Linked DNA regions of Elephas maximus indicus. The protein of the gene in region 1 binds, or shares a complex with, the protein of each later gene. Links are inferred from orthologs where the notes say so. Each region holds a gene or a part of one and is shown in the gene's direction. Other genes may lie near its edges. The genes, in order: VAMP2, NAPA, CPLX1 and SNAP25.

Region 1 (7,119 bases):
ATGGAGAGAGAAAGGCTTCCCCTGGGGCTGGCACTCTGAATTCGGACTTCTAATAAATTTCTGTTTGTTAAAGCCATCCATTTGCAGTATTTCTCTTATAGCAGCGCTAGATAACCAAGACACCCATATAGTAAAATATATATATATATATATATATTTATAGAAAGCAAATCAGAGGAATCTGCAAGAGACAGATACTATGCAGCACAAGAAAAAAAAACATAACTGTTAAGTAAAAAAAAAATTGAAGGTGCAAATCAATGTGTATAGTCTGTTAGCATTTGTGTTTTAAAAAAAGGAAAAAGCACCAACTCTGCATATGCTGGTCTGTGCACCAGCTCTCCCTGGGGACTCACAGGACTGGAGAGCACCTGTGTCAGGGCGGGGCTTCTGGGTAGCTCCAAGCGAGGGTTCATGGTACATTCAGTGTACTTTTTCAATTTTTCAATACGATTGTATTATCAATCTTAAAATCTAACATTGAATTTTAAAAATATAATTATTATCCTCAGAGAGAAAAGACATTGCATTTTGGAAAAAAAAAAATATATATATATATATAATAATATATGGTCCCTGGGAGGTGCACATGGGTATGCATTCTACTACCAGCCAAAAGGTTGGTGGTTCAAACTCAGAGGTGCCTCAGAAGACAGGTCTGGTGATTTGCTTTTGAAAGGTCACAGCCTTGAAAACCCTATGAAACAGTTCTACTCTGCATACCTTGGGTCGTTATGAGCCAGAATTGACTCAACAAAAAGTAACAACAACTTGATAATGTAAAGAGCCTGGGTGCTGAGTCGCAATCGACTCGACAGCCACGGGATGGATAGGTGATGCAAGGGGTTGCTCCACAGAAGAAAAACCCTGACAATCTGCTTCCATAAAGATCATAGCCAAGAAAACCCTATGGAGTAGTTCTACTTTGTAACTCAAGGGGTCGCCATAAGTCAGGACAAATGAATTGAGGGGCAGCCAAGGGGACTTTAGCTTTATGTTTAATGTTTTAGTATTTCACATGAAGAATGCAGTCACACCATCTGTGTATATAATTAAAAACTACTTTAGTGCATGTGGCAATCCATGTAAAGTGTCAGGCACACAGTAGGTCCTCTTCTCTCCAGGACCCCAGGGCTTCGCAGGCAGCCCTGGGAGCCTTCTGCCCTAGACGGCTCAGCCACAGGTCAGTGGGTTTGAACAGCTGACTGTGATGGGGCTAGGCCCCTAGTCCAGCATTCCCAAGGGCAGATTTCTTCTGCTCCTGATTAGAAGGCCTTTTCTTTACAAGCTGGTTGACACACACGACGTCCCTCAAATTAATTACTAGTTTGGTCAGGCTTGACTCATGTGGATGGGGCAAGTTCTTGAGTCAGCATGGGAATGAACAGGCCCCCTTCCATTCCAACTTCTAAGCCAGTTTTTGTTAGAAGAAGGAAAAAAAATAATGAAAGAAAACCTTTTTAGAGTGTGGTCTCCTGTGGCCTACATCGGAATCAATGGAGGTGCTTGTTAGAAATGCAACCTTGGGCCCCTCCCACATCTTTTGAAGGAGCCTTCGAATGGCCCTGGGGTGGGGATGGAGGGCTAACCCAGAAGCTGGTAAATGGAGAAGCCTGGACCTCAGTTATGCAAATATACTACTTCATTTTTCTGGAGTTCAACTTACTACTTCTTTTTTGGGTCTCTATTCTATCTGCTTGCAGAAAACATTCTCTTAATTCATTTCCAAGTAAACTCAGTCATCCCACCCCACCCCTTCTCCTGCCTCCACCATTGATCTAAAATTGGGGAGTTCCCTAGGTGGGGTGGTGCCAAGAGGGGCTGCACACTGTGAGTTCTCTCTCTGAGGCGTATCCTCCTGGGTCCCCACCTCCGTGGATCATATGTGCCCCCATTTCTACCCTGTCGCAGGATCCTGGAGCGGAGTGAACAGCAGCAAGGTGTCAGCTTTCTACCCCACACCCAATGGCCTTGGCTCCCCCAATTTATCTGGGGCTCTGTGGCTCCCACAACCCCTGAACTCTGCCTGGGAAAACTGGAGTCACTCCTAAACCAGTGTCTAGCATCTTGCTTGCTTGTAAGCTTGGTCTCCCCAGCTAGAGCAGGGGGTTCTGGTGGGTGGGGAGGCTCTGTCTGCACTGCTTTCCAACCTTCCCTGTCTTATACCCTGACACTGAGCCTTTTGAACTTAAAGCCTGGAATTTGACGTCTTTGCTCTTTGGCCCGAAAGGAGAGTGGTTGCAGGGCCAAAAAGCAGGCAGCCAGTATGCCATCTGAGACCCCTACTGAAGCTGCTCTTTTTTCTTTTCCGCATAGGCTGAGCCACCCCAGCCCTCCTGTGTCAGTGCACAAAGGGCAGGGAGATGGCTGCTCTGCAGAGGGGGAGGGAGCCAGAGCATCTGATCTGAGATCCTGCTGAGTCCCCACATCCTGCATAATCCCTGCTCACTCACCTCCCCCAGACAGCTGTGAAATGACACCTCTGGTGACAGAGCAGGTCCCCAGGCTTCTGCTGGGAAGGGGGGTGCTGCAGTGGGCAAAGTTCTCACACCCAGAGGCCCTGGGAAGCCTCGGTTGGGGAGGGAAGGAGCTGGCCCCTGTTTGTCTCAGAGACCAGGCCACCAGGCCTCCCTCCACCCCAGCTGCCTGGGATGCAGTGAACACCCTCACCCCAGGGTCACTAAATAAAAAAAAATTTTTTTTTTTTTTCTTCCCTAAAATGTCTCTTTCACGCTTGGGGCAGGACAGGCAGTCTCATCTCCGTCACCCTCCAGAACCTGCAATGCCCGCAGTGCCTGGCCCGCTGATGATGGGCGGGGTGTGAGTGTGTGCACCTGCCGGGGCTGTGTAAAGGACCGAAACAGAGGCCAGTCAGAGATGGAAGGATCATCTCCTACTACCGTGTTATACAGATCAAACCATATAACAACTATATATACAGTGCCTACATATGAAACATATTTTTGGTCCAGAGAAGGCCAAAGAATTCTCCAGGGTCATACCTTATGAGGCTAATCCACCTGGAAAGTAACACTGTGTAACCTGGGCACTGCAGGTGTCTCCCTCAGGCTGGTCCTGTACCCACTGTCCTCCTTCCTCAAACAAAAACAAAGCAAACAAACAAAAATCTGCCCTTTTGGCCCAGGCCCAGTGCCTGGAGTGAAAGGATGAGTCCTCTTCCCCCACGGCAGGGGTAGCTGACCCCACTAGGGCCAGAGCTAGGTTTCGGCCACCACGGGGCAGTCTCCTGCCCTCCTTCCTGAGGTCTTTAGGCTCCCCTACCTCATTTTTTACCTCAGTTGGGCCTGCTTCATGTTCCCCTGCCAAGTACCCCGGTCTGAATTCCCACTTGTGAGGTGGGACAACTCTCATCCCCTGCAGCCCCTCCTCGGGCTCGGCTGAGGGGAAAAAGCCTGCACCGCCTCTTTTTCTTCATTTCCCTTCTACCCAAACCTCCCTTGGGACATCTACCTACTGGACGATGGGGTGACGACGAACCCCCCCCCACCCCACTCCATCTCAGCAAAAGACTCCCGGCTCTCTGCATTGCCTCTGGGACCTGCACGTCCTCGTCTGAACGCCCACCCTACCCACCCACTCCCAGCTCATTCGTAGTGCTGAGGAGAGAAAGGCGGGTCTCCAGACTTTGGGACCGCGGCACCGGGTGAGACCTTGGGCTATGTGGGGTAGGGACTGGCTTACAGGTTTCACAGATGAGGAAGGATGTGGTTTGAGGGTGAGATATAGGGCCCGGCTGCGGTGTGCTGTAGGGCTTGGGGTAGGCTGTGGTCAGACAGGGCGGGTTGGCGGTGGGTCTGGGGGCTCGCAGGTGCAGTGGAAGGTGTAGGGGCCCCCGGGCACGAGGGCCTGGACCTGGCAGACACGGCCCCCGCCCCGCCGCGCCCAGCCCCGCCCCGCCCCCGCGGCCGGCTCCCGACGAGTCGCCTGCCGCGCCCCGCCCCCGCCCGCAGTGCCCGGATGTGGGTGACGTGCGGCCGCCATCTTCCTGTCCCCGGCAGCAAGCGCCAGTCGGAGCCAGCTCGAGCCGCCGCCGCCGCCGCCGCTATCGCCATCCCTGCTGCTGCCAAGTCCTCCGCCCGCTGCCTCCACCATGTGAGTCGGCCGCCCGCCGCCCGCGCCGGGCTTCCCCGCGCAGGCCTGCAACCCTTAGGGACGGACAGCTGGGAGTGCCCGGGGCTTTGGCGGTGCCCCCCGCGCTGCCCGCACCCCGGAGGCAGGCCAGCGCCCGTGACTGCGCGCGGCGCCCAGGGAACTCCGCGTCCCGGGCTGGCCGGCAGACGATGGCCGCGGGTGGAAGCGGACCCGGGTGTCCGCCCATCCCGCCTTGCCTTGTCACCGTGGCCGCAAGTCATGTCAGGTGGACCCTGGACCGCGTCTGTGATGTCGCTTTCATATGACAGGCGGGGAAACTGAGGCCCGGAGGGGGGAGGGGCCTCGCTCAAGGTCACGCAGCTCTTCAGCTGCGGGGCCGGACGGAGTCCAGGGCTCTCGTCGGGTGGCCTCCCTCCCGGGAAGGTGGAAGAGAGGAATGGATGGATGGACAGGCGGCTGGGCGGAGCCCTGGCCCTGAGTCTTAATCCGTCCCTGCCCCTCAGGTCTGCTACCGCTGCCACCGCCCCCCCTGCTGCCCCGGCTGGGGAGGGAGGCCCCCCTGCGCCCCCTCCAAACCTGACCAGTAACAGGAGACTGCAGCAGACCCAGGCCCAGGTGGACGAGGTGAGTGGGGGGGGCGGTGTCAAAGCCCGTGGAAGGATCCTAGGGGTTGACAAACAACTGTGGGGGCCCATCTTGGGTTGGAAAAGATGACGGATAATTAATGGCTATGTGTTTGGGGACAAAGACATACCATGCCCCATCTTTGCCAGCGTGTACCTGGAAGGGCTCTGGGATGTTAATCACCCTGTGCCAGCCAGGGGTGTACCAGCCTGGAGCCTGGAGCAGGTGTGCTTCGGTGATGGACTGGCTACTGAGGCTTCATAGATAGAGCTATGATATCTGAGGTGTCTGGCTACCATCAGGCTCCTGATGTGTGCTCCTTGCATGTCCCCAGGTGTGCTAGGCGTGTTCTGTATGCGTCCTTGGCATGTTAGCCTGGCAGCATCGGGGTGCATGTTCCATATATGGCACAGTGGGTGCATGTTCGAGCAGTGCTTTCACTGAGGCGGGCCTTGGTACACCTCCTGCCTCATGGGCCTCTCAGGTGGTGGACATCATGAGGGTGAACGTGGACAAAGTCCTAGAGCGGGACCAGAAGCTGTCAGAGCTGGACGACCGTGCGGACGCACTCCAGGCGGGGGCCTCCCAGTTTGAAACAAGTGCAGCTAAGCTCAAACGCAAATACTGGTGGAAAAACCTCAAGGTAAGGGTGGGGGCGGGCTGGGGGGCGGGTAGGAGGGCTGCTGGGCGAATGGGGGTAGCATAGGTTGTCTCATGGACTCCCCTCTTGCCCCCAGATGATGATCATCCTGGGAGTGATTTGCGCCATCATCCTCATCATCATCATCGGTGAGTGGGGAGTGGGTGGCCAGGGCCCTTTCTCTGGAGAGGTTTCCCCTGTGGATCCTGGGTTTTGAAGGTCATTAACATTGTTTTTACTATTCAGCAAAAAACATACATAGCTGCCAGTGGCAGTTCTGATTCATCTAGATCCCCAAACCTGATGTTGTTTAGCCTGCACTTTGCCTGGCTTTGGGCGATTTCTGTTAAGATTTTGGAAACAGGAAAGCTGGTGGATCCCTACTGCTCCCTTGAAGACCCTTTGGGCCTTGAGAGCCCAGGCTGAGTACCCTGGAATTGGGGAGTGGGAGAGCAGGAGAGGCCCAGGAGCTCAAGATTAGAAGCCAACCACCCCACTCTTTGAGAGCTTGTGGGCTCAGAGACCTAGAGGACTAGGGGTCTGTGGTCCCAGGGCCATACCATGGAGTTAAAGGGACCTCAGAAGTTGCCTGTCCAGCTCCTTGCTTTTATAGATGGAGAACCTGAGGCCCAGAGAGGGAAAGGGACGTCAGTCAGCCGGGGAGTGGGGAGGACTGGAGCAGGGCCAGGCCTGACACACTGCTTTCTTTATCTTTCTCTCTCTCTCCCTGCTCCCCCTTCCTCCTCTTTCCCTCTCTCCACAGTTTACTTCAGCACTTAAACCCCTGAGGAGCCTGCCCTGCCCAGAGAGGGGCCTCTCCTCCTCCCCCCAGCCGCTCCTCCACCTCTCAGCCATATCTTCCAGCCCCTCCCCTGAATCCGTGTGTGTGTCTGTGTGTGTCCCCTTGTAAATAGCCAGCTGTTATTTATACATATATAATATTATATATATTTGGTCTGTTTGTAGTTTTATTACTAGAAGATTTTTCCGGTTGTCCTTAACACTCCTTCCTGAGGTTCCCATCACCTCCTCTCTTTCTTTCCTTGCCTTCCCCTCCTTTCCCCCAAGTCCCTTCATTTGCATCTGCTATGCAATAGTCCCTCTTCCTTTCCTTTCCTTTCCTTGGATTTAGCTGATCCTTCTTCCTACCCAGGCCTTCCACTCATCCCCACTCCACCCAGCCCTCCCCTCAAAACAAAGTGCAACTGTCCAGACCTCCCTAGGTGCATCTCCTCTGCATCCATTGGGAGGCTCTGAGACTGGCCCCACAGGGTTCTAAGAATCCCAAGGTCTTCTGGGAAGCTTCCAGCATGTTTATTAGCATATCATTTGCATACTGACATCTCTGTTGGTTTCTTTTTTGTTTCATCACTCTTCACCCATGTTTCTTTTTTACTGAGGAGTCCCCATTGGTTCTCGTATCACGCTTTCATTTTCATGGCATTACTTGCAGGTGGTGGGGAGCCTGAGCTTTTGGGGAACCAGGCTGTTCTGGTCCCCAGAATTGCCCTCTCTTAACCCCTCTAGTCCAGTTTGCCTCCCTTACCCCCATTTTCCAAACCTCTTGGCCCCTCTTCTCCGTTCCCTGGCTGGTGTATGTGTCTTGGAGTTCAGTGTGTTATGACGGACCAATATAATTCTGCCACTCGGGGTCTCTACCCACATTCCTGCTCCCCAGTTTTCGAGTGGGGAGCTCAACTGACATTCCCATGGGGTCTCCCTCCCTCCCATCTGCCTGATTC
Region 2 (7,695 bases), on another chromosome or scaffold:
GGTTTCCCTGGCCTGTTGATCCCACAAGGGCCTTGAGCCCTGGCGCGTGCCAGCGTGACAGAGAACAGAAAAATGAGTCCCTGCCCTGGGGGAGCTGGTGGCTTGGGGCGGGGGGAGCTGGACAGATTAACTCGTACATTCATTCAGCAAGCATTTATTAAGCACCTACTACAGCAAGTACCGGGGCAGTGGTTCCTCAGTGGTAGAGTTCTTGCCTGCCATGACAGAGACCTGGGCTCCATTCCTGGCCAAAGTACCTCACGTAGAACCAATACCCATCCGTCAGTGGAGGCTTCTGCATTGCTCCGACGCTGAACAGGATTCAGCATTGCTTCCTAAGATAGACTAGGAAGAAAGGCCTGGGAATCTACTTAGGAAAACCCTATGAATCACAATAGTCTGAATGACCATCACTCATGGGGGTGGTGCAGGACTGGGCAGCTTTTCGTTCCACTGTGCGTGGGGTCGCCATGAGAATGGGGGCCGACTTAACAGCAGCTGAGAACAGCAGTACCTTTTAAAAAACGTTCTCTGACAGCTATAAAGAATGGGCTGTACGGAACAAGAGTGGAAGCCAGAGATTGGATAGAAGACTCTAAGGTAAAAAATGCTGGTGGCCTGGGCTGGGAGTGTGGGGGTGAGGGTAGCAGTGCAGAGGAAAAGAAGCCCACAGACTAGGGATGCCTTTCGGAGCTGGACTCTGCAGACTTGTTGACAGGTTGCACATCATGGGGAGAGTTGGTAGGAAAAGGGCAGAGTCAAGCCTGCTGTGCAGGTTTGGGGCTTCAGCAGCTAAGTATGTGCCATCAGCCAAGATGGTAAAGAGCAGCAGAGCTGGCGATGGCATCGCAGTGTGATTGTGTCTACAACTGCTGTATTCTGAGCAGGGCAGAGGGTGGTGTCAGATGGTTCACAGAGGGGCAGCATTTACAGCTAAGTGCTCAAGAGTGGGAAGAGCAGAGGAGGAAGTGGTTTAAAGCAGTTGGGGCTCCATGGTTAAGGGAAGGATCCCAGGCATCAGGTGAACCTGAATTTGCATCCTGGCTCCTCTTCGTTCATCATAACTGTGGACAAGTCATTTGCCCTGTGTGGGCCTCATTTTTCTCATCTGTAAAATGGGATGAAAGATGCATACCGCCATCTGCCATGTATCTGTTAAATGAGAAAACATAAATTAAGTGTGTGGCAGGGTGCACCATATAAACTTAGCTCCCGTTGAACAAACACTCGTGGTATTGCTATAATTGCCCGGGTCACAGCTTAAACAGCAAGTCAAACTCCATGGCTCTGGAAATGTCTTTGGCTAAAAGGGTTGGGGGTGGTGTATTAGTTATCAGGAGCCCTGGTGGTGCAGTGGTTAAGCACTCAGCTGCTAACCTAAAGGTTGGCGGTTCAAACCCATCAGCCACTTTGTGGGAGAAAGATGTGGCAGTCTGCTTCTGCAAAGTGTACAGCCTTGGAAACCCCATGGGGCAGTTTTACTCTGCCCTGTAGGATTGCTATGAGTTAGAATTGACTTGACAGCAACCGTGGGTATATTAGTTTTCTATTATTGCACAACAAATTACCCTGCAACTTAACAGTTAAAACACATGGGAGCTCTTAGAATAGTGCCGCTTTGATGGACACGGAACCAAAATTACTGGTGGTAGTTCAGAATCACCCCACCCAATTTGTGGTCAGCATACAGTGGCAGCCACCTGTGGGTGGTCCAGGAGAGCCTGTTTAAGAAAAGAGTGGGGCGGAGGTTTCTTGTGCCTTAAACTCTGCTCAGCCAAACCCCAAACAGCATTTTCTCAAACAGTGGTTCCCGGATTGTCTGCAACCAAGTCATCTGGGAGCTTGTGGGAAAAAACGCAGACTCCTGTGTCCTGCCACAGGCTTTCAGAATCTGAATCAGGTGGGGGCAGAGCCTTGAAACCTGAATTTTTAAAATGAACTTTGAATTTTAGAACCGTTTAGATTTATAGAAAAAATTGCAAAGATCATACAGAAAGTTCTCATATACCCAACACCCATTTCCCTATTATTAACATCTTACGTGGTTATGGTACACTTGTTACAATCAATGAACCAATATTGATACATTATTATTAACTAAAGTCCATACTTTGTCCAACACCCATGGAAGCAGCAGTCAGGAAATCAAAGGATATATTGCATTGGGCACATCTGCAGAAGACCTCTTTAAAGTGTTAAGATGCAGAGATGTCACCTGTGAGGATTAAGGTGCACCTGACTCAAGCTGTGGTATTTTCAATAGCCTCATACGCCTGTGAAAGCTGGATGATGAATAAGGAAGGCTGAAAAAAATTGATGCATTTGAATTATGGTGTTGGTGAAGAATGTTGAATATGCTGTCAACTGCCAGAGGAATGAACTAAATCTGTACATCCAGAATGTTCCTTAGAAGTGAGGATGGCAAGACTTTGTCTCATGTACTTTGGACATGTTATCAGGAGGGACTACTCCTTGGAGAAGGACATCATGTTTGGTAAAGTAGAGGGTCAGCAAAAAAGAGGAAGCCCCTCAATGAGAAGAACTGACACAGTGGCAGCAACAGTGGGCTCAAAGGTAGCAACGATTGCGAGGATGGCGCAGGACTGGGCAATGTTTTGTTCTGTTGTACATCGGGTCACAATGAGTTGGAACTGACTTGATGGCACTTAACAGAGTACTTTATTCAGATGTCCTTAGCTTAATGTCCTTTTTGACCAGCCCTGGTGGCCCAGTGGTTAAGTGTTCAGCTGCTAACCTAAAGGTTGTTGGTTCAAACCCACCAGCCGCTCTGCGGGAAAAAGATGTGGCAGTTTACTTCCATAAATACTATAGACTTGGAAACCCTATGGGGCAGTTCTGCTCTGCCATATAGGGTCACCATGAGTGGGAATCGTCTCAACGGCAGTGGCTTTGAGTGTCCTTTTTCTGTTCCAAGATTCCATCCAGCGCATCCCATCACATTTAGTTGTCATGTCTCCTTAAGCTCTTCTTGGGTGTGACAGTTTCTCAGACTTCCTTGTTTTCAGAGATTGACAGTTTTGGGGAGTACTAGTCAGGTATTTTCTAGAAATTGGGATTTGTCTCATGTTTTTCTCCTGATTAGACATGGGGTTATGGGTTTTAGGGAAGAAGACGAGAGGGAAAGTGCCATTTTCATTACATCATATCAAGGGTATATGCTGTCAACATAACTTATCACTGTTGATGTTGACCTTGATCACCTGGCTGAGGCAGTGTTTCTGCACTATAAAGTTACTCTTTTTTTTTTTTCCCTATCCTTTCCATACCGTACACTTTGGAAGGAAGTTATTATATGCAGCCCACACTTAAGGAATGAGGAGTTATGCTCCACCTCCGTGAGGGTGGGGTATCTACATAAATTATTTGGAATTCTTCTGCCTAGGAAATTTGTCTGTTTTCCCCCATTTATTTATTCGATCATTTAAAAATCTGTATCAGTCTCCCTGGATGATGCTGATGGTTAACGCACTCCGCTGCTAGCCAGAAGGTTAGAGGTTCCGGCTCACCCAGAGGCACTTCAAAAGAAAAGCCTGGCAGTCTTCTTCCGGAAACTCTGCCACTGAAAACTGTGGAGCACAATTCTACTCTAACACAATGGGGTCACCAACAGTTGGGGTCGCCAGGAGTCTGTCAACTGAATGGCTACTGATGGTGGTGGTGAACTTGTGATGATTTTATACTTGGAGTTATAATCCAATACTACTTGTTACTCAAATTGCTCCAGCTGTGGCCACTGGGAGCCCTGCTCCAGTGCCCCTTTGACCTCCCCCCAGCACTGTGCGTGTGTTTTGTTTTCGTTTTAGCACTGCCTTACACTCTGGCACTACAAGATGCTCTGGGCCCATCTGCATAATGCTCTGCCCCTCGTTCCCTTATTGCAGTACGGTGGTAGAAACCAAGATCTAGGGCGTAGTGTGCGTGAACCTAAAACTTACCGTGGTAAAATACGTTAACACAAAGTTTGCTATTTTTAGCCATTTTAAGTGTAGAATTCAGTTATATAACTACATTCACAATGTTATATAACTATCACCACTGTATCCACAACTTTCATTATCCCAAACCGTACCCACTCAGCCCTCCCCCCAGCCTCTGGCAATCACTGGTGTCTGTACATTTGCCTGTTGTACACACTTCACATAACTGTTCAACTTCTTAAGCAAGTAGAGTTAGAGAACCTCTGTTCTCAAAGTTCTGTTTCCGGTCTTTGGAGTACTTTCCTAGCCTCCCCCCGCCCACCAGTTTCAGCGGTCGTCGGCAGAGGGCGCATGAAAAGGCAGAATGTTTTCTTTTTTACCACACACGCCCTTCCAATTGGAAGAGAACCGCGGGAGATAAGCACATATGCGGCGGTACTAAGCTCTGCGCCAGTCGACTGTCACGTGAGGGTCGGCCGTCAGCTGACCAGTGCTCAAGGTCCATAAGGAGGGGCGGGCCCTAGCGAGGGCAGCTGATAATTGGTGGAGTAAGAACCAGGAAGGTGGCGCCCTGGGGGCGGATCTTCACGGCGAGGATTTGGATTGGCTTAGGCCGAGTCACGTGGGCAGTGAGACTGCCGTAAGCTGCTGTGCGTACGCGTCTAAGTCTTGCAGATGCAGATTGGAGTTTGCGGCTCATTGGTCGGTACGCGGAGGCTGGCGGGGGCGTGGCCGGTGGGGCGCGCACCTTGTCACGAGGCTGTTGGTTGGTCGGCGTAAGTCACATGGTGCTGGGCGGCCGGCGGCGCGCGCCGGTGCGACGTCAACGCAGCTCGCTAAGCTCCCCGGACCTGTCTTCTGCGGCCGGGCCAGGGCAGAGTCTTCCCAGGGCCCGGTTCGGACAGTTTGCTGAGTCCCTTTGCGTCCGCCATGGACAACTCCGGGAAGGAAGCGGAGGCGATAGCGCTACTGGCCGAAGCGGAGCGCAAGGTGAAGAACTCGCAGTCCTTCTTTTCTGGCCTCTTTGGGTAAGAACCGGGCCGCGGGCCGGCGGAACCTAGGCTGAGTGACGGGCCGAAGGAGTTACGGCCTGAAGCGGCGGGGCAGGCACAAAGGGTTCGGCCCAAGAGGACGGAGGGGGTTCCGGGATGAGGAGACATGATCCAAGGCAGCGGGGGGACACAGGCTTGAGGGCCAAGGGGCCCAGACCTTGGCGACAGGGCGTGAGCAGAGACAGTGGGACGGCGGAGGGGACCTGGGCTGAGAAGACACTAGCCGAGGCGACACCATCTTGAGGCGGCTAGGGGAACTTACATCCAAGACGGGCCAAGGGGCTGGAGGAGAACATGGGCCGAGGCCTTGAAAGGGGCTTGGCCTGAGAGGTTGCGGCAGCTAGGTTAAGGAGTCTTTCGGAGCTCTAGGAGAACCTATTTCAAGGATCCTTGATGAGGCCTGGGGCTGAAGCCACTTGCCCGAGGTGTTGACATTTCCGAGGCCCGCGAAAGTGGATTTGTGTGGACCCTGGGTGAAGGGTGAGGACCGAGGAATCAGACACCAGGCCGAGGGTATCAGGGCTCCGGGGATCCTGAGAGTGGTGAGCCCAAGTCAAGGTGTGCAAAGTGCCTGGGGTGGTGACCAGTCTTAAGAGTATCTTAGCCTGGAGTGGAACCCAAGTGGAGGAGTCCCTGGGGATGATGTAGGAGGCCTGAGCTCAGAAGCTGGAGAGGAATGTGTGGTGAGGGAATGGGTGATGCCGGCTTGGCTGAGATTGAGGGATCAAAGGGAGACATGAGGAAACTGAAGAACCGAAGGGAGGTGTGTTAAGGCTGCTTTGTGATCATTGAGTAAGGATGGGGAGGTCTGGGGACAGTGGCGGGTGCGGGGTGTGAAGAGGACCTGAAAGGGGCCTGTGAGGCAGAACTGACACCTGTGACATGATGGATATTTCACGTAAAATTTATTAAGTCTTGAAAGTAGTCCTGACGACATCCTTTGAGAAATCTTGGTGGTTTTCGGGTGTCATAAAGGCCAGGTTTGAAGTTTGATTCTACCCCTTACTTTGGGATGCTGAGTAAGTAAAGTTGTTGAACTTCCCTTTTAAAGGGGATCACTCATAAAGCCCACCTCAGAGGTTTGCTGTGAGCGTGTGTAAGTGCAAGCCTGGAATGCAGTTAAAGCTTGGAAAGTGTTGGTTGTTGTTAATGTTGCTACATGTGAGGAGACAGGCTTGGAGCCTGTAGGGGGGCTGGTGGGGTTAAGGCCTGAGCCTGAAGGGAGAGGTCTGGGAGGAGTGAGGAGGGATCTGAGGGGGAAAAAGCCTAAGTGTGATAAAGAGGAGGAGAGAAGGAGGGGGGAAATGGCTCCGGGCCAGGGGGTCTGCAGGGTTAGAGGGCTCTGGGCAGAAGAAGTAGGGATCCCTGGAGGACTAGAGGAGGGGGTGCTGAGGGAGGGACTGGAAAGGGTGAAGGGGAAGCTGTCAGGACTGTGAGGAAGACTAGGAGAGGAAGTGCTTGGCTGCTAACTGCAGGGTTGGCGGTTCAAACCCACCCAGCAGCTCCGTGGCAGAAAGGCCTGACAGTCACCTCCCTTAAAGATTACTGCCAAGGAAACCCTGTGGGGCAGTTCTGATCTGTCACTTGGAGTCACAATGAGTTGAAATCAACTTGAGGGCATCTAATAACAACAGAGAGTTAGGAAGGAGTCCCCAGGTGGCTCAAATGGTTAAATGGTTTACTAGCTAAAAGGTTGGCAGTTTGAACCCACCCAGAGGCACCTCAGTAGTCAAGCCTGGCGATCTGCTTCTGAAAGGTCGGAGCCTTGAAAACCCGATGGAATAGTTCTGCTCTGCACGCGTGGGATCAGCATGAGTGGGAATGGACTCCATGACAGCCAACAACAAAGAGGAAGAACTGCAGGTCGGGGTGGGCATGGACTCAGAGAACTCAAGAGAGGCAGGGACCAGGGAGGGCTGTAAGGCTGGAGAACCCCCAGAAGGCTAGGAAATGGGGTTTAGGAGGAGGACCTGGGGGCTAGAAGAGATTGTGTTAGGAGCCCAGCAGGGGTTAGTAAGAAATAAGAGTAAGTTCTTTTGAGAGAGGAGATGGTGGAAGGAGCCCTCCCTTGTTATTTGAGATTGGAAAATGTGCAGCAAACGGACTGGAGGAAAGTGGTGTGAGGAGACAGCCAGGACTGATGGGTCATATTGATTACGCAAAGAATGTTGTTTTAGAAGCTGAGAGGGGAGAGAGAGTGTTTGTGTTTTTCTTCCTTCACAAGGGGAGAAGTTCAAGTGCAATGTATTGGGGTGGGGCCAAGAGCTCAGTTTCAGGTAGTAGTTTTCCTGGGTGGTTCTGGGTGTCTGGTCCCTTCTGACTAGGAATCGGGGGCTCTTGGGTTGTGCTTGGAGGGAGCAGCTAGGCCAGCGAGATCAGAGCCCTTGAGGCACTTGCAGCCTGCCTGGGTGCCCTTGAGTCTTTTCCAACTCATAGAGCTGCCCATTGGGTTTCCTAGGCTGAAATCTTTACCCAGGTCTTTTCTCCCACAGAGCGGCTGGTAGATTCGAATTTGCCAACCTTTCAGCTAGTAACTTAATTGTTGTGTCACCAGGGCTCTTTAAGGCAAGATGAACACTGGCGAATTGTGATCAAAGTGAACTTGTATGGGGAAACAAGGGGTAGATTATGTTGTTCGGGGAAGTTCTGAGATGAGAGTATGAACTGGAGGAAGGCTATTTGTGAGGAGTGAGCTGGACCTCCTG
Region 3 (6,923 bases), on another chromosome or scaffold:
TATTCAATATTCTTCACCAACACCACAGTTCAAAGGCATCAATTCTTCTTTGGTCTTTCTTATTCATTGTCCAGCTTTCCCATGCATAAGAGGTGATTGAAAAGACCATGGCTTAGTTCAGGTGCATCTTAGTTCTCAAGGTGACTGCTTTTTAATACTTTAAAGAAGTCTTTTGCAGAAGATTGCCCAATGCAATGAGTCTTTTGATTTCTTGACTGTCGCTTCCATGGCCTTTGATTGTGGATCCAAGTAAGATGAATCCTTGACAACTTCAGTCTCTTCTCTGTTTATTATGATGTTGCCTGCTGGTCCAGTTGTGAGGATTACGGCCGAGAAAATCCTATGGAGCAGTTCTATTCTGCAACACTTGGGAGCCAGCATGAGTTGGAATTGACTAGAGACAATGAGTTTGGTTTGGTTTGGCTTTGGGTGGGAGGCGTGATCCTCCGTACCCTCCTGCCTGGGGTCCTGGGCTTTCTGGGCCTCATTGGGGCTGCTCTCTGGAGAGTAGCCACATTGGAAGATGGTGTTGAGTGGGACAGGTGGCTTTATCCCTGTTGGACAGGCAGGGCCCAGAAAGGCAGGGCAGCTTCTCTAGGGCTACACAGGCAGGGCTCATGGTGGCCAAAAGTATGCACTCCCCAAAGCTGACCCTTCTGTGGGGTCACCCTCTGGCAAAAAGCCTCCCCCTTGTTGGGGGCTCCACTGCTGGCCACCCTCCCTCCGCCCTCATAGCTGCCTCACCTGACCTCCTGGTCATCCCCTTCTGCCCCCCCTCCCACCCTGACGTCATCCTGTATGGAGGCCACTTCAGAGACCTCAAGAGGCCCAGAAAACAGCTCTCTTCCCCTGAGTCTTCACCAGCCAGCAACCTCTGCTGTCCCTCCCTCTGCTCAGCCGTCCTCAGATTTTACAGAGGTTTCTCGCTAAACTACTGCCTCTTTCTGGCCGCTGGGGTTTTGGAGGAGGTTCATGCAATACTTGGGGTTCTCTTTCAGGCACTGCCTGCCCCTGGGACTTGGGTATAGCGACGTGGCTGGGTGGAGGCCATCTGCCACAAGCCTTTCCTCTACCACAGGACAAACCCACCTGGGCCCAGCCCATGCCTCCCCTCTGACCCCAGCCCTGACAGCATGAGCAGTTCCGTGCTGGCTCTGGCCCACATCACATCCTCACAGCGCTCCCCGAGGCCCTGTCATCCTCAAAGCCATCCCAGATCACTGGGGTCTGACCTGGAATTGTCATCTTGAAGGGGCTGAGAAGTGTGCGTGCTGTTGGGGGAGGGATCTGTGAGGGGGGCAGGTGATGTAAGGGGGTAAGGGGAGAGAGAAAAATGGAGAGTCAGACAGACAGAGACACACAGAGAGAGCTAGAGACAGGGAGATGGAGACAGAGAGGCAGCAAAAGAGAAACAGAAACACAGCAAGAGATGGAGACAGAGAGGGAGGGAAGGAGAGAGAAACAAAAAAAGAGAGGCAAAGAGAAAGAGGGAGGCAGGGAGAGAGGAGGATGAGAGAAACAGAGAGACACGGGGGCAGGCAGAACGCATGGGCCCCTCGTAGGTCCCTGACTCTGGACATGAGGAGCTCTGTCAGGCCCTGGTTATGGGGCCACCACTGAGGTGTGGACCCCTGGATGCTCCCTACACCCTGTCTGATGTCCTGCTTTTGGGGACACCGTTCTATCCTGCAGACATGATGCAGACTGCCCCCTACCCCACTGGAGCCTACCCTTGAGGTCACTGGGCACCTTGCAGAAGGCTTGTGTGGCAGGCGAGGGGTGGTTGTGGCTCAGTGTGGCTCACCTCTAGGAGCCTCTGTGACTCACACTTGGGAGGTCAGCTGTGGCCCTTTCTAGCAGTGACGGTGGAGAGAGGAGGCTCCATGGGGAGAAGTGATCTCTCTCTTTGCAGGACCCTCCCACCACCATCCCTCCCAGGCTCCAAAGATGCTGCAGGGCCCTGTGTCTCATCTTCCCTTGTTCCTGGACAGTCAGGGGAGAGGCAGCTAGCCTTGCACAGAGCGGTGCTCGGGCCACCCTGGCTGCGAACCGCACCCTGGGCCTGGGTGCTCCTGAGGGCAGAACTGGTGCCCCTCACTCCTGCTTCTCACCTGGCACCTCCAGGGCAAGGCCTGTGGGTCTCGCCTCCAGGTGACAGGTGACGGGAGCTGTCAGTGAGAGAAGGGACAGTGCTGAGTTCCCAAGAGGCTGCAGCTCCATGTGGCAGGGAGACCCCACAACCCTGGACACAGCCTCTTGTCCAAAGTTGCTCCTGGCCCCCAGGTCCCTTCAGATTCACGCTGGTTGCAGTGGAGGCCAGAGTGGGACCCCACCCAACTACCTCCCCACCACAAAGGAGCAGTGCTGGCCTCCCTGATCCCCCTGCCCTCATCCTTGGTCTGCTGAGGGTCTCCAGTCAGGCCACTGACACCCTGCCGGGCCTGGAGGTGGTCATCGGAGGGAGAGGAACAGGGCACAAGGTCCCACGTGGATCCAGGTGTCCAGGCTCTCTGCAGGGAGGCTAAGCTTCCTGGGGGCTAGAGAGGGAGGCCCAGGGCACCAGATAGGAGCCAGAAGGGTGGTCTTCCTGGGGCTGGTGAGGGTCTGGGGCAGCTCCAGGATGTCCCTTCTACTCCAGGCCTGGAGGAGTCCCCATGACTCAGCCAGGAGAGGATAGTGCGTGGTTCATGCAGTGTGGCCACCTGCTCAAAGGTGCCGGCGGAAGGCCACCACTGGGCTGCCCCCCCAGTGACTCAGACAGCCAGCTGGGCTGCAGTCCCTGCCGGCAGAGGGGCCCAGTTCTTGTATGCAGGTGCTCAGATCAGGATCCCCTGCAGCCATTGAGGGAGGAGCGGGCAGGAGGCCCAGCGCTCTGACCTTGCAGCGACCCCGACCCCTCCCACCGCAGTGCGCACCCTCGGCAGACGAAATCCCGGAGGTCCCGGGAGGGGGAGGCCACGGGGTGCGGGGTTCGGAGCCACAGTGGGCCCCCCTCTGGCGGAGAGGACCCGGCCACCGGCCCCCGTCCGGAGGAACCCTGTCCCGCGCCGCGTCCCGGTCCGCAGTGACCTTCACGAGTCCCTGCCTGGAAAGGGGGCCGCCCCACACAGCCCTCTCTCCAGCCGCCTCTCCACAGCAGCGCCCCCTGGGCCTGCCCGTCCGGGGGCTGCGACGGTCCCTTGGTCTCTTTTCCTCGGGGGTCCCTCAGCCTGTTCCACTACAGTGAAACTCTGTGGTGCTCTTTCTAAGTCTGCGACTGGGATACATGCAAATTAGCTCCCGGCTGGTCTGCAGGTCTGTCCCCGCGAGGGGAATTGGGTGGGCTTTCGGGGTTCTGGGAGTGCCCTTCTCCCGCCCTGCAGTGAGTGGGCCCAAGAGAGGCGGGGTCTGGGTCTTGGGAGGCGCCCAGGACACCCAGCCCGGTCAGGACCACGGTCACCCCCCGCGCAAGGAAAATCTCTCACAGTGCTTCCCCTCCCGCCTTGGCCGAGTGAACTGCGAGGGGCAGAGATCCCCAAACCCCTGCCCCGCTCCAGCTGAACAAGCAGGGATTTTTCTGCTCCCCGGGGTTCCGCACCTACCAGTCCCTCACCGCAGGAGGGGGTGGGAGGGGGGGCCCTGTGGGGGAGGAGGGCGGGACCCCCGCCCGGGCAAGTCCACATGGAAGGGGCTCTCATACTTGGGGGAGGGAGGTCTGCGGTTAAAAGTTGAGGGCCGGGTAGGGGCATCTCGCTCCCGGATGGCCGGGGAATCCGGAATGTTTGGGGGCGCGGCTCCGTGGCTCCCGCTCCGCCCCCGCCAAGCCTCCGCCCCGCCCCTCAGCGCGCCCCTCCCCCGCCCTCCTCGTCATGCTCTGCCGCGGGCGGGGGGCGGGGACAGCCTCCGTGTGACGCGCCCTCGTCGCGGTGCCCTTCAGCAGCCGCCGCAGTTGCCGGCGCCACATGGACCTGGCCGGCCCGCGCTCACTCCGCCGCTGATTGCCCGCCTCGCTCCTGGGCCCCAGAAGGTAACCGGCGCCCCCGCCCGCAGCCCGTCCAGGCCGGGCCCGCTCCCCAGGCCCTGCTCCCCCAGCTCCCGGTCCCCCCAAATCTACGCTTCCCCAGGTCCCTGATCCCGCAGATATCTGCTCCCCAGGTGCCGGCCCACCCCGGCCCGGTTCCCCCAGCCCGGCCCTGGCTGTGCAGGGCCTCTGCAAGGACTCTGTCCGGCGCGCGGGCGCTGTCCGTCGTCGTGGTGCTGAAGCAGCCCCGCAGTCCCGGGCCCTCCTCCGCCCTCGCTCTCTTTTCCTGGCTTCTTCCCTTCTCCAGCCTCTCTGTCTCCCCTGCCTCTCTAGTCTCCCTTTCTCCTTCCCGTCCTCTCTGCTTTTTTTCTTTCTCTTTCCTGAAGCGCTCCCACCTCACGCCGCTCAGCAGAGCCGGGCAACTCGCCCACAAAGCCGAGGGGTGCGGCGGCAGGAGCCCCGGGCCCGCGTGTGGGGGGTCTGGGCCCCGGGGCTGGTTTGGATCTCGTCAGGAAGGTCCCGCAGCACCCCGAGACTCTCTGAGGCTGGGCCCTTGCAGCACTCGCCCTCCCTCCCTCCCTTGGAGCCAGGGGAGAAGTTTGGGAGAGAATCTGCTTTGCGCCAAAGGCGCCCCTGTGAGCCAGCGCTTTGCAGTCTCCACTCCCTGGCCCGGCCACCCCTCCCTACCCCACGCCTGCACAGTAGGTTCTCCTTCATCTGCAAAGAGGAAAACAGTAAAACAGCAGGTCTCCAGGGACCTGGGGTTCCTTCCTGGAGAAGTCGCACAAGGTACAGGAGGCATTGAAGCTGCTGTGATTTTCCAGGAAGCACTTCCCCACCAGGGCCCCAGCTGGCCTGGGCTGGGGACTGGGACCCTGGAGCATCTCCCCACAAAGATGCATGGAGGGGTTTTTCCTTCCCATCATTCCCATTGGCTCCTTGCAGACTGGGCCCCCTGCGGCTTCTCCTTTCCACCCCCTGTCTGCTGCAGGCGGGGTGGAGGCAGCACTCCCCAGGATAGAGCCTGGCTCCCACACACCCCTCTTCAGAAGCCACAGGGGCCTCCCCTGAAGAGCACCTACTCAGGCCCCGCCTGCCCTGTCCCTTCCTCATCCCTTAGACATACCCCACTCTTGTGGCCCTGAGATCACTCCAGTGGTGGCAGCCTGGATCCTGAGCCACTGAGCACATCCTGTCACCTTCAAATGCCCCCTGGGCCCGCCTCTGCTCTGCACAGGCTGTCGCCAGGCTGCTAGGAACTTCACCCCCTGGAGTTGTCAGAGCTTTCCCCTCCCTGTAATAGCAGCTGAAAGCTGGACCCCAGAAGGCTCAGGGACCTAAAGAGACCCCTTTGCAGGTCTAGCTGGGGTCCTGTAACCTGTCCGCCCTAGTCAGGGTGTGGAAAAATGCTTCACATAGGCAGAGGCCCACCCCACAAGGGATGTGGTGCAAACATTGATCCCCCAGACCCCCAGGCTCTGCTCTGGGAAAGGCTTGGCAGAGGCAAGGAGGAAGTGGGTCTCTCCCCACACAGAGCCCCTGCCTCCAAGCCTAGTCAGGGCAACTGTGACCACCTTGCTCTCCTCCCCCAGTTACAGGTTGCCTGGCCTCACGTGCATGTGAGTTTCGACCTCGAGGAGCCACTGAGGAATCAAAGCCATTGTCATGGAGTTCGTGATGAAACAGGCCCTGGGAGGTAGGAGGCGGGGGCAGGGGCTGCTTGTTGACCCACAGAGACACCCCCAGAGGCATCATTGCAGACACGGAGCAGAAGCACAGGGAACAAGAAGGCTATGTCCTGACAGAGACTTGAGCCTTTCTGAATTTCCTTTGCCAGCACAGGGAGGGGAGGGAGTACAGGGGGAACAGGGAAGGCGGGAGGGTGTGTGTAAGTTCAACCTGACCCCAGCACTGTCAGGGCAGAGACCACTGGAAAGGCTGACCAGTAATAAATACACTCACTCAACCTAAGGAAGAAGTCCCCAGGGTGGGAGTATCAAAGGACGGCCCTAACTGTGGTCAGGCTGAGTGACCCTCACAGGGCTTTGCTCCTGGTGAGCCAAGCTGTGGACAAGGAGGAGCTGCAGAGATACTGCAGTGGTTGCATGGGGCATAGGGACAGAGATGGACCTGTGGCTTTCATCAAGAACTCAGTGGCTCTCACTCAGGATATGGGGGAAAGCACTGCCCCCAGGGCTGGCAGGACACATGTATGTTTGAACACAGAGGTCCAAGAAGAGGCCAGGGACACCTCATGTGATCCCACCATCTTCCAAGGAGCCAGTTCAGCTTCTTATGTGTGCGTGTTTGCGGGGGACATACTACTCCCCCTCCAACAGAGCTGGCTCCTATTGGAAAGAGCCTATACATGGCCCAAGGCCATTATCATGGCTAGAGGCCCTGGCCCAGGACTGGAAGCCCTGCAGATGGGGTTGGTTCACAATGGCACCGAAGACCTTGCAACCCATCCTCTGCACCAGCTCTCAGGGGCCGATTCCACCGTTAGGAATGTCTTCTTTGGGTATGATGGCATTGCACTCACACGCGGTCTGCGTAGGGGAGCATTTCACTCACAGCCTAGTATGAATCAGGTGATCTATATGTAAACCTTTCTCTCAGTACTACTGTGATGGGGGAGAGGGAGTTGGTGAGAGATGTGCCAAGAACAAGGGGGGGCGCCGCTACCCCCAGGTCTGGTGCCTGACCCCTCCCCTGGCCTCATGCTGTCTTCCCTCCCTCCATTCCTCCTACCGCCTAGGACAGGAGCTGACACAGATTGTCTTGTGGAACATGGCTGCATTTCTGATCAACACAAATTAAATCAGAAGACAGGGGAGCCTGGCCCGGGGCCACATGGCCTGAGCCTCATGGCCAAGGGTAGTCTGCAGATTCCGCCTAATTGTAATGCTTACGTCACCAAGAC
Region 4 (6,998 bases), on another chromosome or scaffold:
AGGTAGTGTCTTAAGCCAATCTGTTTTGAGATATAAAAGAGAGAAGCCAGCAGAGAGACATGGGGACTTCATACCACGAAGAAAGCAGTACTGGGAGCAGAGTGCATCCTTTGCACCTGAGGTTCCTGTGTTAAGATGCCCCCAGACCAAGGGAAGACTGATGACAAGGACCTTCCTCTAGAGCTCTAGAGCTGACAGAGAGAGGAAGCCTTCCTCTGGAGCCAAAGCCCTGAATTCGGACTTCAAGCTTACTGGACTGCGAGAGAATAAACTTCTCTTTGTTAAAGCCATCCACTTGTGGTATGTCTGTTATAGCAGCACTAGATGACTAAGATATGCCCTAACAGTCTTTTGAGACATTGTCACAGGGTTTCAAACATGCTCCAAAGGAGGACGTTGTAAGAGTAGGGGAGATTCTGAGTTTGGCTTGTTCTAAAACTACTTCCAAGTTGACTTTGGAAGATCATATGGCATTCTATAAAAGTTTTTATTACTATTATTCCTTATGAGGTTGTAATTATTGAGTCATCTATGAATCTCGCCCCTGACCTCAGAGAATACAAGGTAAACTCCTTGGATCTGGAGCTATTGCGAACCAGAATACTTTTGGGGCATGTTGTACCAGAAAAGCCTTTCAGAGACTGAATTAGCATAGTGTAAATATCCATCCAGCTGAGCAGGTAATTTCCTCACTTCTCATCAAATGAGATCCTAAGCATTAGTTACTCTATGTGTTGGTTCTTTGCAGAAATAACTCACAGGCAGCTGAATCATTTTGGAGCAAATTTTCCATCACCTTCCTTCGTTGTGTGCTTCAGGCCATTATAGACCCTGAGTAAAATAAATCTGCTGGTTGTGGCAAGGTTGACTTTTATTTTGTTTTTGTTTGTTTCATTTTGTTCTGTTTTTTTTTTTTTTTTTTAATCCTCAAGCCATGAGAAAAGCAGAGGGGGAAATCTCATTCTTATATTCCAAAAGCATTTAGCACTATCTATGGGGCTCTGTCCTACAGGGTCACTATGAGTCGGAATACACTTGATGGCAACGGATCAAACCCACTGCCCTCTAGTTGATTTCAATTCATAGCGACCTTATAGAAAAAAAAAATTTTTTTTTTTTTTTTAGAATTGCTCCATAGGGTTTCCAAGGCTATATAAATCTTTAAGGAGGCAGATTGCCACATCTTTCTCCCAGGAATGGCTGGTGGGTGGGTTCAAACTGCCAACCGTTTGGTTAGCGGCCTAGCGCTTTAACCACTGCACAGCTATGGCCCCTTAGCACTACCTAGTCATCTTTGAAGAAGCTCTGGCTGCTAACTGAAAGGTCAGAGGTTCAAACTCACCAGCTGCGCTGTGGGAGAAAGCTGTGGCAATTTGCTTCCATAAGAAACACTATGGGGCAGTTCTACTCTGTCCTATAGAGTCACTATGAGTCGGAATTCGCTCAGAGGAAATGGGTTTGGCTTGGGTTTGGTCATCCTTCGTAGACTTTCAGCTCCAAATAAAGCTAAATGTCCAATATTTATGTTACTCAAATTAGATTCTGTTGTCTTTCCCAGAATAAGATGAATCTTTCAAAGGACATCATTTTTGACCTAAACACAGGGGAAAGGAAAGTGCTGTGACCACCACAAGATATCTTTTAGGACCTGTGATGTTTTCTGTGATGTCTTGAATCAACCTGGCTCTCTCTTCTTATCTATCATTTTTAAAGATGTCAGTGTAGGACATCAGCTGTTGAAAGCTCAGACGCCACGCCAGCCCTCCCCTGGTGACTTCCACTCAGCTTCTGTCTGTAGGATGAGCCTCCATCACTGATGTGATTCCTTTATACTTTTTTTTTTTTTTGATCTGGAAATTCCCCCACCTCCTCTTTTCCTTCACAAAACTTTCTGCCTGAATGACTTCTAGTCTGAAGGCCAGACACATATTTTGTTTCTCCCCACTGCAGGATTTTCTTCCCCGAACTTCCACATGCTGTCTTTTTGTGTGTGTGCCACATTTTGGAAACAATCCTAACTGTAACAGCTTTTGCTATGCCAGCACTTCCCCCACCCTAGCCCACCCTGCTTTGTAATAAAAGTAAGAGCCAGAGCTAGGACACTTTCAACAGTATATAAGTAAGAACTTTACAGATTTTCTTGTTGTTTATGGTATAGGAATTTTAAATGTTTACTATATAATTAAGTAAACAAATTTCAGTAGCATGGTTTTTTTTTGTTTTTTAGAAATCCAGCTTTAATAAAAATCCAAATGACATTTGTTAATTGTGATTGCAAAGAGTAATATTTCAAAATACCCTTTGAGTCAGAGAAGCTTTAAGAAACAATGACTTAGAGGCGTCCTTTATTAAAGTCTGACAGCTCTGCTCCCTCTAAACGCAGTCCCTTTACAGCTCTACTTTCCTCCTCTCCTGAGCTCTCTCTCTCCAATCAAGCACAATTAAAAGCCTTATTATTGCTTAAGCTTGGCTCTCAAACCAGCTGGTGGCTGTTTGGGGGAGGGGGGGATGAGGGGGTAGAGGGGCTCCTTGTGTGTTGTTTTCCTAGACCCAGTTCTGAAAGGTTTCTTCCAAAAAAGGCAAGGATTTTCCATCGTCTAAGAGGCCATCAAGTTTTAACGTTGCAAGGCACGACTTCTAATCACATCCCTCCCGGAAAAGTACAAACAGTTCCTCAGCTGAGGTCCCCCACCTCCCACGCGCTCCCCAGCTCGCCCTCCCCGCGGAGAGCCCCGCGACAGCCTCCCCAACACCTGTGAATCATCCAGAGGCTGCCACCGCGGAACTGTTTGCATAACCCCCCCCCCAGCACCTAATGCACGAGGGAAGACCGTTAGGATTATTGCTTTATGATTATTATTTTTAATCTTTTATGACCAGCAAAACTAGCCTTTCTCGCCCATGCCCTGTTTGAGCATCAGCGGGACCCCAACCCAGGGTTTGCGCACCGAATGAACCACCAGAATTTTGTCGTGTCCAAGCCACCCTTGAACCTGCAGCCTTCTACTTTTCTCTGGAGGTCTGGGCGGTTCTATGATTCTGTAAGGCATATACGTGCCCTACTGGATAAAAAAAGATACTCAACGTCAAACCCCAGACTCCTATTGCAAATTCAACCGAAAACAGCATCATCTATGTTGCCCTCCGCAACTGCAAGCCTGGAGCCCTAGCAAGACGACGCTGGTTGGGCTAACTGCCTTTCCTCCGCGTCCCCAAGTCGTTTGATATATCACGGCGATAATTGCTCTGACGTACTTTAAAATAACGTCTGCGACTCTCTCTCCAACTGACCACATTAACGAGAACTCCAAGCCCTCGATGCTGCTTTGATAAAACAGAGATCACTCATAAAAATAGCAACCCACGTAGGCTGGCCATATATGGAACTAGACAGGGTTGACAGGGATGCCCCCTTTGAACCCTCTTCTTTGGCGAAAACAAATCTCTGCTGAAATCTACCCCCCAACACCCCTCCTCCATCACCATCACCGCCCCCCGTCCTCTGTCTTCCCCTCCCCCTTCCACTGTGACTCAACCAATGATTCAACTCAGCAGGGAAAAAAATATATATATATATATATATATATATGTATAGGGTTTGGGTTATACGTATATATATATGCACATACTTATATATGTATAAAAAATTAAATACACATATACGTATATATACATATACATACACATATATATGTATATACACATATATATAGTAGCGAGATAAATGTGTTTGCTCAAGACCGACTGTTAAAATGGAGTCAGAAGAATCGCCCCATTCGGCTGTTTATAAAAGACTTAAAATTCAAAGGTTTGCAGTGAAGCGTTCAGGGAACTGAGTCAAGCGCTCCGCTCCTCCGGCTCCTCCCCTCCCACCTCCAGCCTCTGTCCTCCCTCCGCCCTCCCCCAGCACACTTCCTCCCCGCCCCTCCAGGAGATGGCTATTAAAAGCTGCTGACGTCAAAAGGGACAGCCATCTTTGATGAGGGCAGAGCTCACATTGCATTGAAGACGAAACCTCGGGGAGGTCAGGTGCTGTCTTTCCTTCCCTTCCTGCTCGGCCGCTCCTCCACACTTGAAACCTGCAGGGTCCCGGCGAATACCATCCTCTGGAGAAGCCAAGGTAAGGAGCCCCTCCTTGGGCCATGGTTCTGGATCTCGGTGACTGCAAACTCAGAGGGGACCACAGCTGGGCAGACCAAGTGGGCTTCGGTAAATACAAGTATTTGTGCACCTAGGGTGCGGTATTCTGTGTGTGCGCGTCTGGCTAGACTCCCGCCTGGGGCTTTATAAAGTATTTTCGAGGTGAGCTGTTAGGGGGGGAGGGATGAATGGGGACACTGCAGATGGAGCGATGGGAGGAAGCGCAAGGATACGTACCAAATAATAACTTACTCTTTTCAAACTGTAGTGGGACCTTCTCTCTTCCATTTTGCGATGCAGTTTTCAGTGGTGTTTAGGATGCTGTTTTCTTTTTCTGTAGACCAAAACAAACAGACAAAAAAATCTGTCCACCTAACCCTATTATGATCGTTGTGATTAGAAAGCAGTTATCCAGTGAAGAATTAAGGACAAGGCAGGGTGGGCGCTGGAGAGGCGAAAAGACAAGGAGAGAGTTCCCGCCCCGGGCCAGCTGAGCTGCGGCAGCGACAGCAGCCTCCATGCCCCCACGGACTTGATTTATACCGCCTGCTCCACGTCAACTGCAGGCTGGCGGGAGGCGGGCGGGTCATGCTGGGTGGGAGGGCTCTGTGGAGGGCTGGCGGCAGTGGGCTCGCCTCGGGGACTGCGGAGGCCCGCACTCAGAACCCTGGACAGCGTACCCAGGGCCCGCGCTGGCTCCCGCGACCTTCCAGCACCACGGACAGCGATCCGGCCGCAGCGCCGCAGCTACTTGCGGCACAGGTGCCTGGCCAGGGCGAGATGCGCCAGGATTGGACGCCAAATTGCCTCTTGGAGACAGAGATACCTAATAGAGCAGGCGTAGTAGGTAAAAAAAAAATCGTGCCTACAGGGACTCCTTTGCAGGTAATTACTTGCTCCCTCCGCACCTCCTGCACAGCTTAAAAAAAAAAAAAAAAGTCTACTTGTGGAACCATTCTGTATGCCCTCTTCACCTCCTTTTAGATAGGAAATGAACACATTTTTAAAATTTGTATTTATTCTCCAATTATATAATCAAGGTTTCGTTTGTGTTTGTTTTTAACATAGAGTAGGCGTTGCACTGTCTATGAAACTTCGGTAGGCATGAGTGTAGTATACATAAAGATGCCAACACTATCGTTTATAGGAGTGAATACATCTCTCTGTATTTCTATTTGGTGAAAAAAAAAAAAAAACGGGTTGCTGAACTAAACAGAATCAACTACTTTAAGAATTAATCCTTCTCCCTCTGTCTTTTCCCTCACTCTTATAATTATGTGTGAATACAAGCACACACCCACACAAATACATCTCTGATAAATATTTACGAGTCCCACAGTCTATAGATTTAACCTCTTTGCTAATGGTTTTAGAGTTAGGGGAAGTATTTCCTGTGAATACTGGCTATCTCAGGCCAATAGTTTGTGATTTTGACAACATTAAGAGTGGTCTTCTTAGGTGGATCCAACTGTGTCCTTCAGCGTACTGCAGGTGAAAGAACCACAGTGTTAGACTGAAAGTAGACTCTGACCTTAAGATCTACTGCAATTTCTTTTATGGCACTGCGGGATTTTGCTGAGGTGGTGATAAGTATTCTGACCGTTTTCTACTCTGAGGCTTGGAGCCCCTGAGCCAGCAAAAATCATTACAGAGAGCTTTCTTTCCATTTGATATAGATAAAATTGGCATGAAATGACCAGGAACAAAATAGTAGTATTATAATAGAGTCATTGGTAAATAAGAGTAACTGTGTCGTATGTAAAAAATATATACAACGCATTAAGGAAACGCCATCATGACCCTCTTAAAAGCCTCACAATAAGATCTTGGAATGTTTTTAGCCAGGGTAACACTAATTATTTGTATACTAGGTGTTAAAATGCCCTATCCACATAGAAGGACTTTTGCTCCCAGCTATTTGTTTATTTTCTAGTGTTTATTTTTGTTTTTATAGATAACCATGAATTTCCAAATATGTATATATTGATCTGTTATTGTGCATGGATGTAAAATTATTTGGGTGGAAATGTATTCAAGAGTATGTAATTGTGTGGAAGAAGTTTATAACTCTGCAATCTGCAGAAGAAATAAACAATTGGGTTTTAGTGATGGGAGGAAGGAGAAAAAAAAGATGGGCAGGAGTCTTAAAAAATGCTTTGACTTCATGCTTCATGTCCAGACAGCTCTCTGCGTAGTTGCATCAAATGAAAGCCTAACGCTGCCGGAAATACATCCTTGGACATTAGTAATTACTGCTGGGTTTATTTGCTAGTGGAAGAGGGGGGAAGGGCGGTAGAGGACTGCAGTGAAGCTGGCAAAGGGCACAGAGCTGGGAGGAAGAGGAGATGTGCAAAATTATGGAGCGAATTCTAGGACATCTTCCTGAAAAATTAAAGAAAAAACATCACTGAGGCATGAATTTAACATTGATATTATTGACAAGCTTCAGAAGAAAAAAAAATCCAGATCTTTTCCATTTTAGGTTTCAAATTTTAAAAATCCAGGGCAATATGGTAAGAAGAGGCAGGAGCAGATGGACACAAGGACCAGCCAGGAAGCACTGACGCAGACCCTCTGACGGTAACACCTGCCTGCCATTGGCATTTTCTGCATTACCACTGTGGCATTCGGATTACAAAACAATTTATAATCTTCTTAACCTCCCATGGCACCACCTCCTAAAAATTCACAATTTTATTTTTACTTTGCTGAACCTGCGCAACCACATATGTGCACACACATACACACACAACACAAACTGACCCATAATTAGCTTGTCTAAAGACATTTCCTGAATTCCAAATGTTAACCCCAGAGTATCAACCAGAAGATTGATATTTCTGCCAGTGGCACCTCTC

The links.
Region 2: the proteins of VAMP2 (region 1) and NAPA are in contact, whole or in part, in a cryo-EM structure (PDB 3J97), measured with the Rattus norvegicus proteins. The link is inferred for Elephas maximus indicus from reciprocal best matches to the Homo sapiens genes VAMP2 and NAPA. Residues at the interface, in NP_036795.1 of Rattus norvegicus: Gln36, Ala37, Asp40, Glu41, Val43, Arg47, Val50, Asp51, Leu54, Glu55, Gln58, Lys59, Arg66; in NP_542152.1 of Rattus norvegicus: Arg116, Thr118, Lys122, Ser157, Ser159, Ser160, Lys163, Leu197, Tyr200, Ser201, Lys203, Arg239, Ser268, Ile269, Arg271.
Region 3: the proteins of VAMP2 (region 1) and CPLX1 are in contact, whole or in part, in a crystal structure (PDB 1KIL), measured with the Rattus norvegicus proteins. The link is inferred for Elephas maximus indicus from reciprocal best matches to the Homo sapiens genes VAMP2 and CPLX1. Residues at the interface, in NP_036795.1 of Rattus norvegicus: Arg47, Val50, Asp51, Leu54, Asp57, Gln58, Ser61, Asp64, Asp65, Asp68, Ala69, Gln76; in NP_074055.1 of Rattus norvegicus: Leu41, Arg48, Tyr52, Glu56, Arg59, Glu60, Met62, Arg63, Ile66, Arg67, Tyr70, Gly71, Ile72.
Region 4: the proteins of VAMP2 (region 1) and SNAP25 are in contact, whole or in part, in a crystal structure (PDB 1SFC), measured with the Rattus norvegicus proteins. The link is inferred for Elephas maximus indicus from reciprocal best matches to the Homo sapiens genes VAMP2 and SNAP25. Residues at the interface, in NP_036795.1 of Rattus norvegicus: Asn25, Thr27, Ser28, Asn29, Arg30, Arg31, Leu32, Thr35, Gln38, Val39, Glu41, Val42, Ile45, Met46, Asn49, Lys52, Val53, Glu55, Arg56, Lys59, Leu60, Glu62, Leu63, Arg66, Ala69, Leu70, Gly73, Ala74, Gln76, Phe77; in NP_112253.1 of Rattus norvegicus: Gly131, Gly132, Phe133, Ile134, Arg135, Arg136, Asn139, Leu150, Glu151, Ser154, Ile157, Gly158, Leu160, Arg161, Ala164, Leu165, Met167, Gly168, Ile171, Asp172, Gln174, Asn175, Ile178, Asp179, Ile181, Met182, Ala185, Asp186, Asn188, Lys189.

What each region holds. Positions count from the first base shown.
Region 1 is NC_064837.1:12,615,325-12,622,443, forward strand, and holds the start of VAMP2 (vesicle-associated membrane protein 2), read left to right. Parts: upstream 1-4,119; 5' UTR 4,120-4,557; coding exon 4,558-4,737; intron 4,738-5,221; coding exon 5,222-5,380; intron 5,381-5,474; coding exon 5,475-5,594; 3' UTR 5,595-6,140; coding exon of another isoform or gene 6,141-6,157; 3' UTR 6,158-7,119. UniProt on the Homo sapiens protein: Involved in the targeting and/or fusion of transport vesicles to their target membrane. Major SNARE protein of synaptic vesicles which mediates fusion of synaptic vesicles to release neurotransmitters.
Region 2 is NC_064829.1:101,403,303-101,410,997, forward strand, and holds the start of NAPA (alpha-soluble NSF attachment protein), read left to right. Parts: upstream 1-4,687; 5' UTR 4,688-4,868; coding exon 4,869-4,966; intron 4,967-7,695. UniProt on the Homo sapiens protein: Required for vesicular transport between the endoplasmic reticulum and the Golgi apparatus. Together with GNA12 promotes CDH5 localization to plasma membrane.
Region 3 is NC_064823.1:158,722,849-158,729,771, reverse strand, and holds the start of CPLX1 (complexin-1), read left to right. Parts: upstream 1-3,918; 5' UTR 3,919-4,006; intron 4,007-5,592; 5' UTR 5,593-5,665; coding exon 5,666-5,696; intron 5,697-6,923. UniProt on the Homo sapiens protein: Positively regulates a late step in exocytosis of various cytoplasmic vesicles, such as synaptic vesicles and other secretory vesicles.
Region 4 is NC_064843.1:48,990,510-48,997,507, forward strand, and holds the start of SNAP25 (synaptosomal-associated protein 25), read left to right. Parts: upstream 1-3,988; 5' UTR 3,989-4,120; intron 4,121-6,998.